Linked DNA regions of Macaca fascicularis. The protein of the gene in region 1 interacts with the protein of each later gene in a pairwise test. Links are inferred from orthologs where the notes say so. Each region holds a gene or a part of one and is shown on either strand. Other genes may lie near its edges.

Region 1 (4,408 bases):
AATTTTTGTATTTTTACTAGCGATGGGGTTTCGCCATGTTGGTCAGGCTGGTCTTGAACTCCTGATCTCAGGTGATCCGCCCACCTCAGCCTCCCAAAGTGTTGGGATTACAGGCTCGGCCGACTCCAAGGTTTTTATGCTGAGTGAGAGGAAGGATGGATGGAATTTTTGGTCACCTGATATGTATAAAGCTGCAGGAGGAGGTTTATAGAGGGAAAAATTAGAGGAATGAGGTTAAAGCTGGAACAGGATGAAAGGATGAAGAGGGAAGTGAGGATCTTTTTTTTCTTTAAAGATGAAGGAGCTGGGCACAGTGGATCATGCCTGTAATCCCAGCACTCTGGGAGGCCAAGGTGGGTAGATCACCTGAAGTCAGGAGTTCAAGACCAGCCTGACCAACGTGGCGAAACCTCGTTTCTACTAAAAATACAAAAACTAGCCAGGCGGTAGTGACACGTGTCTGTAATCCCAGCTACTTGGGAGGCTAAGGCAGGAGAATCGCTTGATCCCGGGAGCGGGAGGTTGCAGTGAGCCGAGATCGTACCACTTCACTCTAGCCTGGGCCACAGGGCAAGACTCTGTCTCAAAAAACAAAAAACAAACAAACAAAAAAAAGTTGAAGGAAATCAGAGCACATCTGAAGGCTGAAGAGAACAGTTCAGTTGAAAGAGAGTGTTCTGGGGCTGTAGGAGAACTAGACTCCAAAGAAGCAATGCAAGAAATTTATGAAAGAAGAGGTGAAAAGTCAGGTCTGTGGGTATGAAAGACAGACTTGGTTACTCCTGTAGACACGCCTCTCACATCTCCTCGTCACCTTCCATCATCACTCCTTCCCATTCACTCCAGACACACCACATGTTGCCTCACTGATGGACACACACCACATCGATTTTCTGCCACTATGCCATTGCTTGGGCTGTTACTACCAACAGGAACACTCACTCTGTTCTTCCCTCTCACTAAACCCTACTTATCCTTCCAGACCACTCTGGTCTAAGTCCCCAGCATCTCTAGCCTGGACTACTCATCCCCTTGCTTCCACCTTCACTAATGAGTCTGTTCACAGCAGCCAGAGGGATGCTGTCAAATCATAAATCATATTTCATCTATGCTCAGGGCTTGCCTAGGCTCTCATCCCACTCAGAGTAAAAGCCAAAGTCCTCACAATGGCCTACAAGGCCCTGCCTTGTCTAGCACCCCCATCTCCTTTCTGACTTCGTCTACTATCCCTTCCCCTCACTCATTCCACTTCAGTCACACTAGTCTCTTTGGTGTTCCGCAAACACTCTAGGCAGTGTCTACCTTCAGGGCCTTTACATTTCCTGTTCCCTTTGCTGCACACCTCATTCAGATAATCCTAGGATTCAAGTACGTTTTTAGCATCCAGATATCCAGATTCATTTGGTAATGCTTCCAAAAAGGATGACAGGAGAAAGGACAGGTGGCGGGCCTCTAGCACACAGACTTTCCCTGCTATGTGCAGGGACAAAGCCTAGCAGACAGGGCAAAGAAAGGCTGGGGCAGGAGGGGGACAAGGGGCCAGCTCACTGTCTCTGCCCGGGGTTCGCTGTCTGCCCCTTCCCCGCTGGGGGTGCATCCTTTCTGGATCATGGGGATAGCGAGCGTGGGGTCGACACCCGCATTCTCTCTCTCTTCCAGAGACTTCTTGGATTCTAAGGGAAGAATAGGAGGGAGCAATGAAGTCCCACTCTATCCTTCCACCTTCTTCATCTTCTTCCTTCACTGGGGAAGGGTAAAGGGGCATCACTCACCCTCAATGAGCTCCTTCACAGCCTGGGACAGCACCCCATCTGCCAAGGCCTCAGTATCTGTGGATGGCCCAGGGGGCCGGGCTGGTGACTGCCTGCGATGGCCATTCTGGATCAAAGGGATGACGAGTTCCTTGGGGGCTTCCTGGGGCTTCACACTGATGTGGACACAGAGGGGTGGGGTTGGGAGAATGGCAGTGTCAGTGGGTCACACTCCTTTATTCAGAGAAAACACGAGAGCCAAACTCACCCCAGCCCCACAGACCATGCCTTCTCTACTCCATGTCTGGATCTCCTGTACCTCTCTGATCGTGCATTCTTTGGATTATCCCCCCCAGTGCCCCCAACTCGTAAATGTCAGTGCCTTCGAGAAATAAGTCCTGGACTCTCTGTTTAACTCAAGACCGGCTTCCACAATGGCCCACAAATCACTATCTTCAGCCTAGACCCTCCCTAGCTCCAGGTTCCCAAACAGCTTCCCAGATGCCTGATTCTCTTCTGGAAATCCCTCCCTCAGACTCTCCTCTCCTCATTAAGCTGATGGTGGCCTCCATCAACCTGAATCTGCCGCTCCATCCCGTTCCCCATATCAGAGAAGCCCCACCACTTCAGCTGAGACACTAGCAGGTCCTGTCATTTTCTCATTCTTTCCTTCTCCCAAAACGCACACACCTCAGTGTCCTCAAGTCCTAAAGACACTTCTTCTCAGTGATACATCCTCTCTTCGCAATTCCCACGGCTATCAGGCCCAATTTCCCCACCCCTCTTATAAACTCCAGCCTTCTGGCCTCCACGAATTTACTCAGGCTGTGCTTCAGGCTTAACAGGTCACTGTCACCAAGACAAACGACTGAGTGAGATTCCTCCCTCCCGCTTACGCCCACCGCAGCGATTTCCAAGGTGTGAAAGACCCGGCGCGTCACCTCTGCAGCTCCCTCCCTTCCACGGTTTTCAAGAAATCCTTCTCCTCCGGAGATGGCCTCGCGCCGTCTCCCGAGTCGGCCAGCCGCCTCCGTGCGGACGTGCGAGTGAAGCCGAATGAAATTGGGGCAGTGGAAGCAGCCGTCAGCGGCAAAACACCCTCTTCGGAGTCAGCCATCTTGCCCCTTTTCCCAGGCCTGCGCGCTGCTTGCTGGGAAATTTAGTTTGGGTTCAGATGGCTAGGGGCCGGCCAAAGTGCGTAAAAACTACCTTCCCATCAACCACTGTGGCACCGGCGGGAGGGGGCGGTAAGGGGCCGTGGGAAGTAATTGTCGCTCTTTCAAACGTCGTGGGAGTGCGTCGCGCCAAGTGCACAGGGAAATGTAGTTTTTTTTGTTTTGTTTTGTTTTTGTTTCTTTTTTTTTTTTAAAGATGGAGTCTTGCTCTGTTGCCCAGGCTGGAGTGCAGTGGTGTGATCTCGGCTCACTGCAACCTCTGCCTCCCGGGTTCAAGCGCTTCTCCTGCTGCAGCCTCCCGAGTAGCTGAGGCTACAGGCATGCGCCACCACGCCCGGCTAATTTTTGTATTTTTAGTAGAGACGGGTTTCACCGTGTTAGCCAGGATAGTCTCCATCTCCTGACCTCGTGATCCGCCTGCCTCGGCCTCCCACAGTGCTGGGACTACAGGCGTAAGCCACCACGCCCGGCCGGAAATGTAGTTTTTAGCGAGGTAGGCATGGTGGAAGGTGGATTCATTCTTGCCAGGCATTGATTCCTTCGTGTAGGCGTTTGACAAGTATTTATGGAGCGCCTACTGTGTGCCCTACTCATGTGGGAAGTGTTGATGAAGTAAATCATTTAGAAATAATCAGCCAGGTGTGGTGGCGTGCACCTGTAGTTTCATTTAGCCCACAGGCTGAGGCAGGAGGATGGCCTGAGGCCCAGGAGTTCGAGGATGCACTTAGCTCTTATTGCGCCACTGCATTCCAGCATGGGTGACAGAGCGATACCCCGTCTCTAAAAAAGAAAAAGTCAGGGTCGGGGGCGGGGGAAGGAGTGTCAGTTGTCTACAATAGTAAATAATAGACATAAAGTGCCTACTGGCCAGGCGTGGTAGCTCATGCCTGTAATCCTAGCATTTTGGGAGGCCTAGGCTGGTGGATCACCTGAGGTCAGGACTTTGAGACCAGCCTGACTCATATGGTGAAACCCTGTCTCTACTAAAAATACAAAAATTAGCCGGGCTGGTGGTGGCACCTGTAGTCCCAGCTACTCAGGAGGCTGAGACAGGAGGATTGCTTGAACCCGGGAGGCAGAGTTTGCAGTAAGCCGAGATCCCGCCACTGCACTCCAACCTGGGCGACAGAGCGAGACTCTGTCTTAAAAAAGAAAAAGAAAGAAAGAAAGAAAGAAAGAAAGAAAGAAGAAAGAAGGAAGGAAGGAAGGAAGGAAGGAAGGAAGGAAGGAAGGAAGGAAGGAAGGAAGGAAGGAAGGAAGGAAGGAAGGAAGGAAGGAAGGAAGGAAGGAAGGAAGGAAGGAAGGAAGGAAGGAAGGAAGGAAGGAAGGAAGGAAGGAAGGAAGGAAGGAAGGAAGGAAGGAAGGAAGGAAGGAAGGAAGGAAGGAAGGAAGGAAGGAAGGAAGGAAGGAAGGAAGGAAGGAAGGAAGGAAGGAAGGAAGGAAGGAAGGAAGGAAGGAAGGAAGGAAGGAAGGAAGGAAGGA
Region 2 (4,183 bases), on another chromosome or scaffold:
GGGCCCCAGCGGCTCGGCGCTCTCCAGCGGCGGGGCCTCGGGCGGCGGCGACAGCGGGCCGGGGTACGGGCCGGGCGTGCCCAGGGTGCCGTAGTACAGGCCAGCGAGCGGCGCCACCGGGGGCGCGGTCCTGAGCGCCTCCGCCAGGGGAGCCCCGTAGCAACCGCCGGGGTCCCGGGACAACTCGGTGGGCGCGTAGGGCGCGCGGAAGGCTCGCAGCGCGCAGTCCTCGGGCGCCGCGGGCGGTGGGAAGAAGGCAGCCTCGCCGGGCTCCAGGCCGTCCAGAGGCGAGCGCTCGGGCGTCGGCAGCCCCAGGCCGTCGAACTCGGCGCCCAGCGGGGGCAGCTCGCGGAAGGCGCGAGCCGAGCCAGGCGCCGCGGGGAAAGGCTCGGGCGGTGGCTGCGGGGGCGCTAATCCGGGGAGCAGGAGGCCGGGCTCCAGCCGCCGGGCCTTGCGCGCCTGCTTCTTGCGGCGCGGCCGGTACTTGTAGTTGGGGTGGTCGCGCAGGTGCTGCACGCGCAGCCGTTCGGCTTCCTCCACGAAGGGCCGCTTCTCCGCTGCGTTCAGCTCCTTCCACGCTTTGCCTGCGGGCCGCGGGCGCCAGTGAGTGGAACGCCGTCGGGCGGGTGGGCGCCGAGCCCTCCGTGCGCCTGGGACGCCCCGCGAGGGTTCGGCGCAGCCCCCCGTACACCGCGACCCCGGACCCCCGCGCCCCGCGCCCCCCGCCCCCTCCGGCCCGAGCCCCCCCGCCCGCTCCCCCTTCCGGCGCCCTCCCGCCGCTCACCCAGCATCTTGCTGAGCACCGCGTTGTGCAGGTCCGGGTTCTGCTGAGCCAGCCGCTTGCGCTCGTCCTTCGCCCACACCATGAAGGCGTTCATGGGCCGCCGGATGCGCGACTCGTCTGCCGCCTGGCGTTCCCCGCGGCCGGCCGGGCTGAGGCCATAGCGCCCCGGCTCGGGGCTGCGCGGCGGACTGCGCTGCGGGCTGGGCGGCGAGGCGGGCGCGGCGGGCGCGGCGAGGGCGGCGGGGGCGGCGGCGAGGCCGCGCGGGTCAGCGGCGGCCCCGTGTCCCGGGGCCCATGCACAGTCGCGGCGGGCGGGCGGGTCGTCCTGTGCGCCGTAGCCGGGCGGCGATCTCTGCATTCCAGCTGGGCGCGGCCTGGGCGGAACGGAGCGCGGGAGCGCGGCGGGCGGGCGGCGGGCACTGCGGAGCCGGGCGCGAGGGCGGGCCAGGCCGGGAGGGCGGACGGCGGTGGGGACGGCGGTGGCCTCGGGCCGGACGGGCGCCCAGATATAGCGGCTCGGGGCCAATCGGCGGCTGGGCGGGCGGGCCGGGGCGGGTCGGGGCCGCCCCCTCCCCGGGGGCTCCCTTTCTTCTCTGGCCGGGCGGGATTTCGCGGAGGCCTCCCCCGCGCACAGCCCCCCCACCTCCCCCGCCACCTCTCAGAAGGAGAGACCCCCGGGTGGGCAGGAAAGGGCTGCCGATGTGGGCCGGTGCTGCCAGACTTTCAGAGGCGAGCTGCCACCCACCCACGGAGTCGGACCCCCGGGCAGTAACGGGGAGGGCGGCAGTGTCCCGCTCGTTGCCGTTCCCCGCACCCCCCTAGGAGGCTCCATGGGGAGGAGAGGGCCCTTTTGCACACCAAGTTCTTGCGAGGCTGCCTTCCCAACAGCCGGTAAGTCCTTCCTGGAGCGCAGCGCCCTCAGAAAAGCCCCCGGCTTTGGAGAGGCGCTCTGACTACCCAAGGGCGCCCATGCACCACGTTCCTGTCAGCACCAGGGCCTTTGAATGCTTTTATGGGACAAGGTGGTCTTCGTGTTTCTGTCCTCACGCCCAAACCAACGCTGCCACAAGGCAAAGCTGACACAGGGAGGGAGAGAGCAGAGGCCCTGGACAGAGCCCACAAAGAGAAGGGGGAGCAGGGATGCAGAGGCTGTGGCCTCCTCCCTGCCCACCTCAGGGCCCTTGGGGAGGGGCCTGAGACCCACAGGGGCTGTCCGGCTCCCCTGCCCAGCCCAGGCCACCGCTGCAGCAAGAGGCAGGGCCGACCTGGGTCCTTCCCGCTGGCCCCTCCCTGGACCCTCTGACCTGGGGAGGGCCGGGTTCCAGAGGAGCGTCCAGCTTCCTGAATTTTCACTGTCCCCTTCCCACCCCATCAGGAGGGGATCTGGCCTCCAGAGCTGAGGGTCTCCCTCTGGAGGTCCTCCCCTCCCACTGCCATACGTGGTTCTACTGGAGGAGTGTCAGGTGTCCCCAGCAGCCCTCCAGGCAGGGTCAGAATCCCCCCACCTCACAGCACATCTCCTCATAGCCTGGAGGCTCCGCAACTGCCCCCCACCCACCCCTGTGCTGGGAGCCCCGTGGGTAGAGGCCACAGATCTTGGTGGCCTTGAGCCTGTGTGGCCAGCAGTTCTTGGGTCTCTGTCCCTGCCAGCCTCGCTAGGCCACATCCAGCCTGTGATGTGAATGGGGGGGGCCCTATGTGGGCCTTGCAGTGCTCCTCAGAGGCTGTTCCTGAACTGTCCCCAGGGGCGCTCCTGCCCTGAGGCCAGCACCCCCCACAGGGGCACCCCCACCGAGGGCTGTTGCGGTCGGTGTCCAGCCCTCCCCAAAGCCCCACATCACAGTCTGTCTCGACGCCCATCGTCCCAGCATGTGGGGCTGGATCTCCCAGTCTGGCCTCCAGGTCTCCCCTCACTCCAGTTTGCCCCACGGGCCTAGCACCTCGTTCACAGACACTGAACCAGTGCTGGCTAATGGGGGGCCCTTGGGGCACCAGGAGGTGTGGCCTCTGGCTTTTCTGGGGAGGCAGGCAGAGTTGTGGCCACAGGGATGGATGGGCTTACAGGCCTCTGCTGGGTGGTGCTAGTTCCCCTTCAATCTCAGTGTGGGTGGCTGGACGCTTGGCCAAGTCTGTGTGGGTGGGCCTCCTGGGCAGCTGGCAGGAAGGTGCAGGGGGGTGGGGAGCTGTGTGAAGACCCCCAAAGGGCTGCCACTTGGCAGAAGCTTCGTCTACTCACAACCTTAGGGATGGAGTCTGGGGTCACCAGGGCCTGGCTCAGCCTGGGCAGTGGCTGGTCACTGGGGCCTGGGAAAGAGGTCCTCAGGGTCCTCTGCAGCAGCCCTCACATGTTGGGAGAGATTTGCAGTTCCCTGGGGGCTCTGCTTGGTCCTCTGCCGCCCCTGAGAGCCCAGAGTCACTGGAGCTGCTCTAAACATAGTGGCAGGCAGTGTCCGGCATGACCTCATCGCCTCCTCATCCCCTACAACACCCACCAGCAGCCGCCTTGCCTGGCGCCAGCCAGTGACCCACCCTCTTGGCTGGGCTGTGGGACTCAGGTGTCCGGCCGTCATGTCCTGTGAGCCAGGGCTGGGTGGGGAGCCTCCTGGGGTGCTCCTTTCCCTCCACATGGCAGGGAGGAGGCGGCAGCCCCGGCCCAGTGTCCAGATGGGACAAAGTGAGGGTAGAGACCACAGTCAGGGTGGCGTGATCTGGAGTCGCAGGGCTGGGGGGACTCTCCAGGGCTGTACAGGGGATGGTGTGGGTGTGGCCAGCTGTGCTGAGGGAGGGGAATCCGATGAGTGTCTGTGCGTCTGTGTGTGGCCTGTGTCTGTCTGTCTGCCTGGGTGTGGGGTGAGGGGGACTCTGGTGCTGGAGGCTGCCCAGGGCCTTGGGAGCCAGGCAAGCTGGACTCTCCCAGGAAGAGATGAAGACCCATAATAGGTCCAGGACCAGGGGTCCTGCTCCGTGAAGGTTGGAGGGTCCCCAAGGCTTCTCTGGCCACTGAGCTTGGGCCCCAGCTTTCTCCAAAGGAGGGCAGGCAGTTCATGAGTCTAGGGGCATTCGTCTGCCTCTGGAACCCCACCTCAGTCTCTCCTGGACCAGGTGGGCTACAGCCCACCCTTGGGAGGGAGCCTATCTGTAGCCCCCAAACCCCAGTCAGAAAGGCAGAATTTGGGGGCAAGCTTTCTCTACAAGGGTGGGACTGGCCTGGGCACTGAGTGGACACTCTCCTGCCTACCACCTGCCCCTCTCCCTCAGCATGGACAGGAACTCGGCCTCCAAGTGAGGCCTGCAAAGGACGCTGGGTAGTCCCCCTCGGTGGCTCTGGGTGGGGGCTTGGCTTGGCACGGCTCCGGGCCGGGATGGCGGGACCTCCCAGGCACTGCCTGGGCACAGACC
Region 3 (4,528 bases), on another chromosome or scaffold:
GGGTTTAACCATCACCTGGGGTCTAGAGATAGACCCTAAGTATCTATATCCCTAGACAACCACTAGGGTTGTTACTTTATTTTTTGAGACAGGGTCTCACTTTGTTGTCCAGGCTGGAGTGCAGCAGCACGATCATAGTTCACTGTAGCCTTGCACTGCTGGGCTCCAGTGGTCCTCCCCCCTCAGCCTCCCAAGTAGCTGGGACTACAGGTGCACATCACCACACCTGGCTAACTTTTCGATATTTTGTAGGGATGAGATCTCCCTATATTGCCCAGGCTGGTCTTGAACTCCTGAACTCAAGGGAACCCCTGCCTCAGCCTCCAAAGTGCTGGGATTACAGGCATGAACCACAGCACCTGGCAGGGTCCTTACTTTTTTCTTTCCAGGGACAAAAGGTACCAGCTGGGTGTTACTGGGGACTTGTTTCTCTTTGCTCCCACTGGGCCTCTCCAAACTGTGGGCAGAGAACCCTGTTTGCCACCTCGGCCCAAGCATTTGCTAAGATCATTGCTCAGGCCGGGCGCAGTGGCTCCTGCCTGTAATCCCAGCACTTTGGAGGCTGAGGCGGGCAGATCACAAGGTCAAGAGATCAAGACCATCCTAGCTAATATGGTGAAACCCCGTCTCTACTAAAAATACAAAAAATTAGCCAGGTGTGGTAGCCGGCACCTGTAGTCCCAGCTACAAGGGAGGCTGAGGCAGGAGAATTGTGTGTACCCGGGAGACAGAGCTTCCAGTGAGCCAAGATTGCTCCACTGCACTCCAGCCTGAGCGACAGAGTGACTCCATCTCAAAAAAAAAAAAAAAAAAACACATCATTGCTCATTCCTCGGTGGACTCTATCCACACAAATTCCACACAACCTCACCCTGCAGTGCATGGACCAATAGGATTCAACAATCTGAGGCTTTTTTTTTTTTTTTTCCAAGACGGAGTCTCGCTCTGTCACCCAGACTGGAGTGCAGTGGCGCAATCTTGGCTCACTGCAACCTCTACCTCCTGGATTCAAGAGATTCTCCTGTCTCAGCCTCCTTAGTAGCCGGGGTTACAGGCAAAAATACAAAATTTTTGTACTGTTAGTAGAGATGGGGTTTTGCCATGTTGCCCAGGCTGCTCTCAAACTCCTGGCTTCAAGTGATTCTCCCACCTCGGCCTCCCAAAAGTGCTGGGATTACAGGTGTGAGCCACCGTGCCCAGACAAATTTGAGGCTTGCTAGATTTGAAGTTGCAAAGTGAAAATTTTAAGTGTGCCCAGTTTTACGGAGAGTGGATCCACAGCTTTCACCACATTCATGGGCAATGGGTCCTGGACTTTCCAAAAAACCCTTTATCTGTCCAAATCAAATGCACTTAGGCTGGGATGCAACATTCTACTTCCGGGAATTCATCCTATAAAACGAATCCCACTGGTGAGCAAAGATATTCACTGGCTATTCATTGTAGTAATGGTAGCAGAAAATTCCGGTAAACAGAAATATCTATCAACTGACAACTGGTTAAATAAATTATGGTACACCTAATGGAATGAAATACAATGTACCCATTAAAAAGATCCAAGTAGGCCAAGCACAGTCGCTCACACCTGTAATCCCAGCACGTTGGGAGGCCGAGGCAGGCGGATCACTTGAGGCCAGGAGTTCGAGACCAGCCTGGGCCAAATGGAGAAACCCTGTCTCTGCTAAAATTACAAAAAGTAGCCGGGTGCGGTGGCACATGCCTGTAGTTCCAGCTACCAGGGAGGCTGAGGCAGGAGAATTGCTTGAACCCAGGAGGTGGAGCTTGCAGTAAGCTGAGATTGCACCATTGCACTCCAGCTGGGCCGACAGAGAGTGACTCCGTCTCAAAAAAAAAAAAAAAAAAAATCCAACAAGTGTGGAGTATGGTCTAGTGCAGTAGTCCTGGGGGACAGGGAAGGAAGGGAGGAAGGAAAGAAGAGAAGGAAGGAAGGGAGAGAGACAGGGAGGGAGGAAAGGAGGAAGGAAGGAAGGAAAGTAGAGAGGGAAGGAGATTGATTCTATTCCTCAGGGGACACAGGGTGATGTCTCAAGATATTTTTGGTTGTCACGACTTGGGGGTGCTCCCGGCCTGGAGAGGGTGGAGGCCAGGGCGCTGCTCAGCACCCCGCAGTGTCCAGGATGGCCCCACCACGGAGAACAATCCGGCCCCAGATGTCAACAGTGCTGACGGAGGGGTAGAAATCTCGCTCCAGTGTGACCTCCAAGTAATGAAAACCACAGCACACAGGATTCTGTGGCAAATGCTATCAGTGTACGTGTTTTTAAAGGAAAGGCACACACGTATCTTACGAAAGGGACATACGGAGTCGATGACAGTCCCTGTCTCTGGGGAGAGAGACGGGGCTGGCTGCCCGAGGAGCAGAGAGGGGAAACTGACTTCTCCCTCTACCTTTTCAACTTTGTACCTTGCCCATCCGGAGGATTTTGAACAGAACTGCTCTAGAAGCAATTTTCCCTGGCTCTGGGTTATCTGGCAAGAATCCTGTGTCGACAGCCTCGGGACTCCTCTCTTCCCCTTCTCTCCCCGCACCCCGCCTTTGCAGGGGAGGGGAGGAGGGGTGAGGTCCGCGTCCCTGGGCAGCCCCTGGGTGCCTCTCCCCTCCTCCCAGGGGTTCTGTCCCCGCTTCTGGAGCCCGCATGGCGGGCAGGGCCTGAGCCACCTCATCGCCCCCGTCCGTGCCTTGCTCTTCCCACCCGGCGGGGGACACGCACCAACGTCCCTACCTCGGTCCCTCCGGCCCCCTCCCGAGCCAGGTCGGGCCTGGCCCCCTCATCCGGGCAGCCTGGGGCCCAGGACTCGGCCCCTGCCTGGGCCTGAGCTCACCTGGCTCGCCTTGTAGAACTGCTTCTTCAGCCCCGCCACCGACATGCTGCCGCCTGCCGCCGAGCCTCCCGCCCGGACCGCGCCAGCGACAGGCTCCCGGGCGCCGCCGACCCTCTGCGCGCCTCAGCAGCCCCCGTCGGCGCCGCCTCCGCCAGCCGCTTGCCAGCTCCGCGCCCGCCCCGGCGCCGCCTCAGCCGCTCGCGCGCCCGCGCGGCCAGGATATTACATGGCAACCGCACGCTTCCGGTGCCGGCCCCCGCGCGCGCCCCCGGCCCCGTCTGCGCACGCGCGCCCTCTGCCGGCTGGAGAGCGCACGTGCACGTTGTCTGCCGCGGGAGACACCGCCTCTGTCAGTGAGTTGAGCGGGGGGAGCCTAGAGGGGCCGTAGCAGGTTCAGCGCCCTCTGGAGTCCCGGAGGTGACCCTAACGTCTTGGGAAAGGCGCTTAGTTTAAACCTGGCCAGGGAGGTTGGGAAGTAGAAGGGGCCTCTGCCTGGTTACGATTCTCCAGATTCCTGTTTGCTCATCTTAGCTAAATCTAAATCCAGTTCCTCTAAGTGTTCAGGCTCCCTCCCCTTCTTTCTTTTTTTTTTTTTTTTGCTTTTTTTCTGAGACGGAGTCTTGCTTTGTCGCCCAAGCTGGAGTACAGTGGCGTGATCTCGGTTCACTGCAACCTCCGCCTCCCGAGTTCAAGCGGTTCTCCTGCCTCAGCCCCCCGAGTAGCTGGGATTACAGGCGAGCACCACCACGCTCGGCTAATTTTTGTATTTTTAGTAGAGACAGGGTTTCGCCACGTTGGCCACGCTGGTCTCGAACTCCTGACCTCAGGTGATCCACCCTCTCCTCCCCTAGCCTCCCAAAGTATTGGGATCACAGGTATGAGACACCGTGCCTGGCCACCTCTCTTCCTCTCTCTCTGTCCTGTGTTCATCCATTCAGTTGCCCACGTGACACATGGAGACATCTAGGTCTGGCTTCATGCCCTGGCATGGCGGCCAGAAAGATGCTTCTAGAATGCAATTCAGGGTCGGGCGCAGTGGCTCACGCCTGTAGTCCCAGCAGTGAGGGAGGCAGAGACGGGTGGATCACGAGGTCAGGAGTTCAAGACAAGCCTGGACAACATGGTGAAACCCCGTTTCTACAAAAAAAAAAAAAAAACAAAACACACACATACACACACAAATTAGCTGGGCGTGTTGGCGCACTCCTGTAATCCTAGCTACTCAGGAGGCTGAGGCAGGAGAATCGCTTGAACCTGGGAGGCGGAGGCTGCGGTGAGCAGAGATCGCACCACTGCACTCCAGCGTGGGCGATGGAGTGAGACTCCATCTAAAGAAAAAAAGAGTGCAATTCAGATCACACCAGTCCCCTGTTTTAATTCGGCCTACCACCCTTAGGATACACTCCAGACTTCCTAACATATTTTACAAAGCCTGCATAATTTGGCCCCATCAACTCTCTCTGTCTCTGTTTTCTTTCTTTCCTTTTTTTTTTTTTTTTTGAGATGGAGTCTTGCTCTGTCGCCCAGGCTGGAGTGCAGTGGCACAATCTCAGCTCACTGCAAGCTCCAGCTCCCAGGTTTATGCCATTCTCCTGCCTCTGGGAGAATGTAGCTGGGACTACAGGTGCCGGCCACTTTGCCTGGCTAATTTTTTTGTATTTTTAGTAGAGACGGGGTTTCACCA

The links.
Region 2: the proteins of GPKOW (region 1) and TCEA2 interact in binary tests that used the Homo sapiens proteins (3 or more experiments, as listed by UniProt). The two-hybrid records come from large-scale screens. The link is inferred for Macaca fascicularis from reciprocal best matches to the Homo sapiens genes GPKOW and TCEA2.
Region 3: the proteins of GPKOW (region 1) and SH3GL1 interact in binary tests that used the Homo sapiens proteins (3 or more experiments, as listed by UniProt). The two-hybrid records come from large-scale screens. The link is inferred for Macaca fascicularis from reciprocal best matches to the Homo sapiens genes GPKOW and SH3GL1.

What each region holds. Positions count from the first base shown.
Region 1 is NC_088395.1:49,285,788-49,290,195, forward strand, and holds the start of GPKOW (G-patch domain and KOW motifs-containing protein), read right to left. Parts: upstream 2,890-4,408; 5' UTR 2,869-2,889; coding exon 2,693-2,868; intron 1,928-2,692; coding exon 1,773-1,927; intron 1,674-1,772; coding exon 1,549-1,673; intron 1-1,548. UniProt on the Homo sapiens protein: RNA-binding protein involved in pre-mRNA splicing. As a component of the minor spliceosome, involved in the splicing of U12-type introns in pre-mRNAs.
Region 2 is NC_088384.1:120,189,176-120,193,358, forward strand, and holds the start of TCEA2 (transcription elongation factor A protein 2), read left to right. Parts: upstream 1-1,372; 5' UTR 1,373-1,614; coding exon 1,615-1,675; intron 1,676-4,183. Other genes in the region: SOX18 (transcription factor SOX-18), read right to left, coding at 1-584, 785-1,142. UniProt on the Homo sapiens protein: Necessary for efficient RNA polymerase II transcription elongation past template-encoded arresting sites.
Region 3 is NC_088393.1:5,136,207-5,140,734, forward strand, and holds the start of SH3GL1 (endophilin-A2), read right to left. Parts: upstream 3,037-4,528; 5' UTR 2,890-3,036; coding exon 2,845-2,889; intron 1-2,844. UniProt on the Homo sapiens protein: Implicated in endocytosis. May recruit other proteins to membranes with high curvature.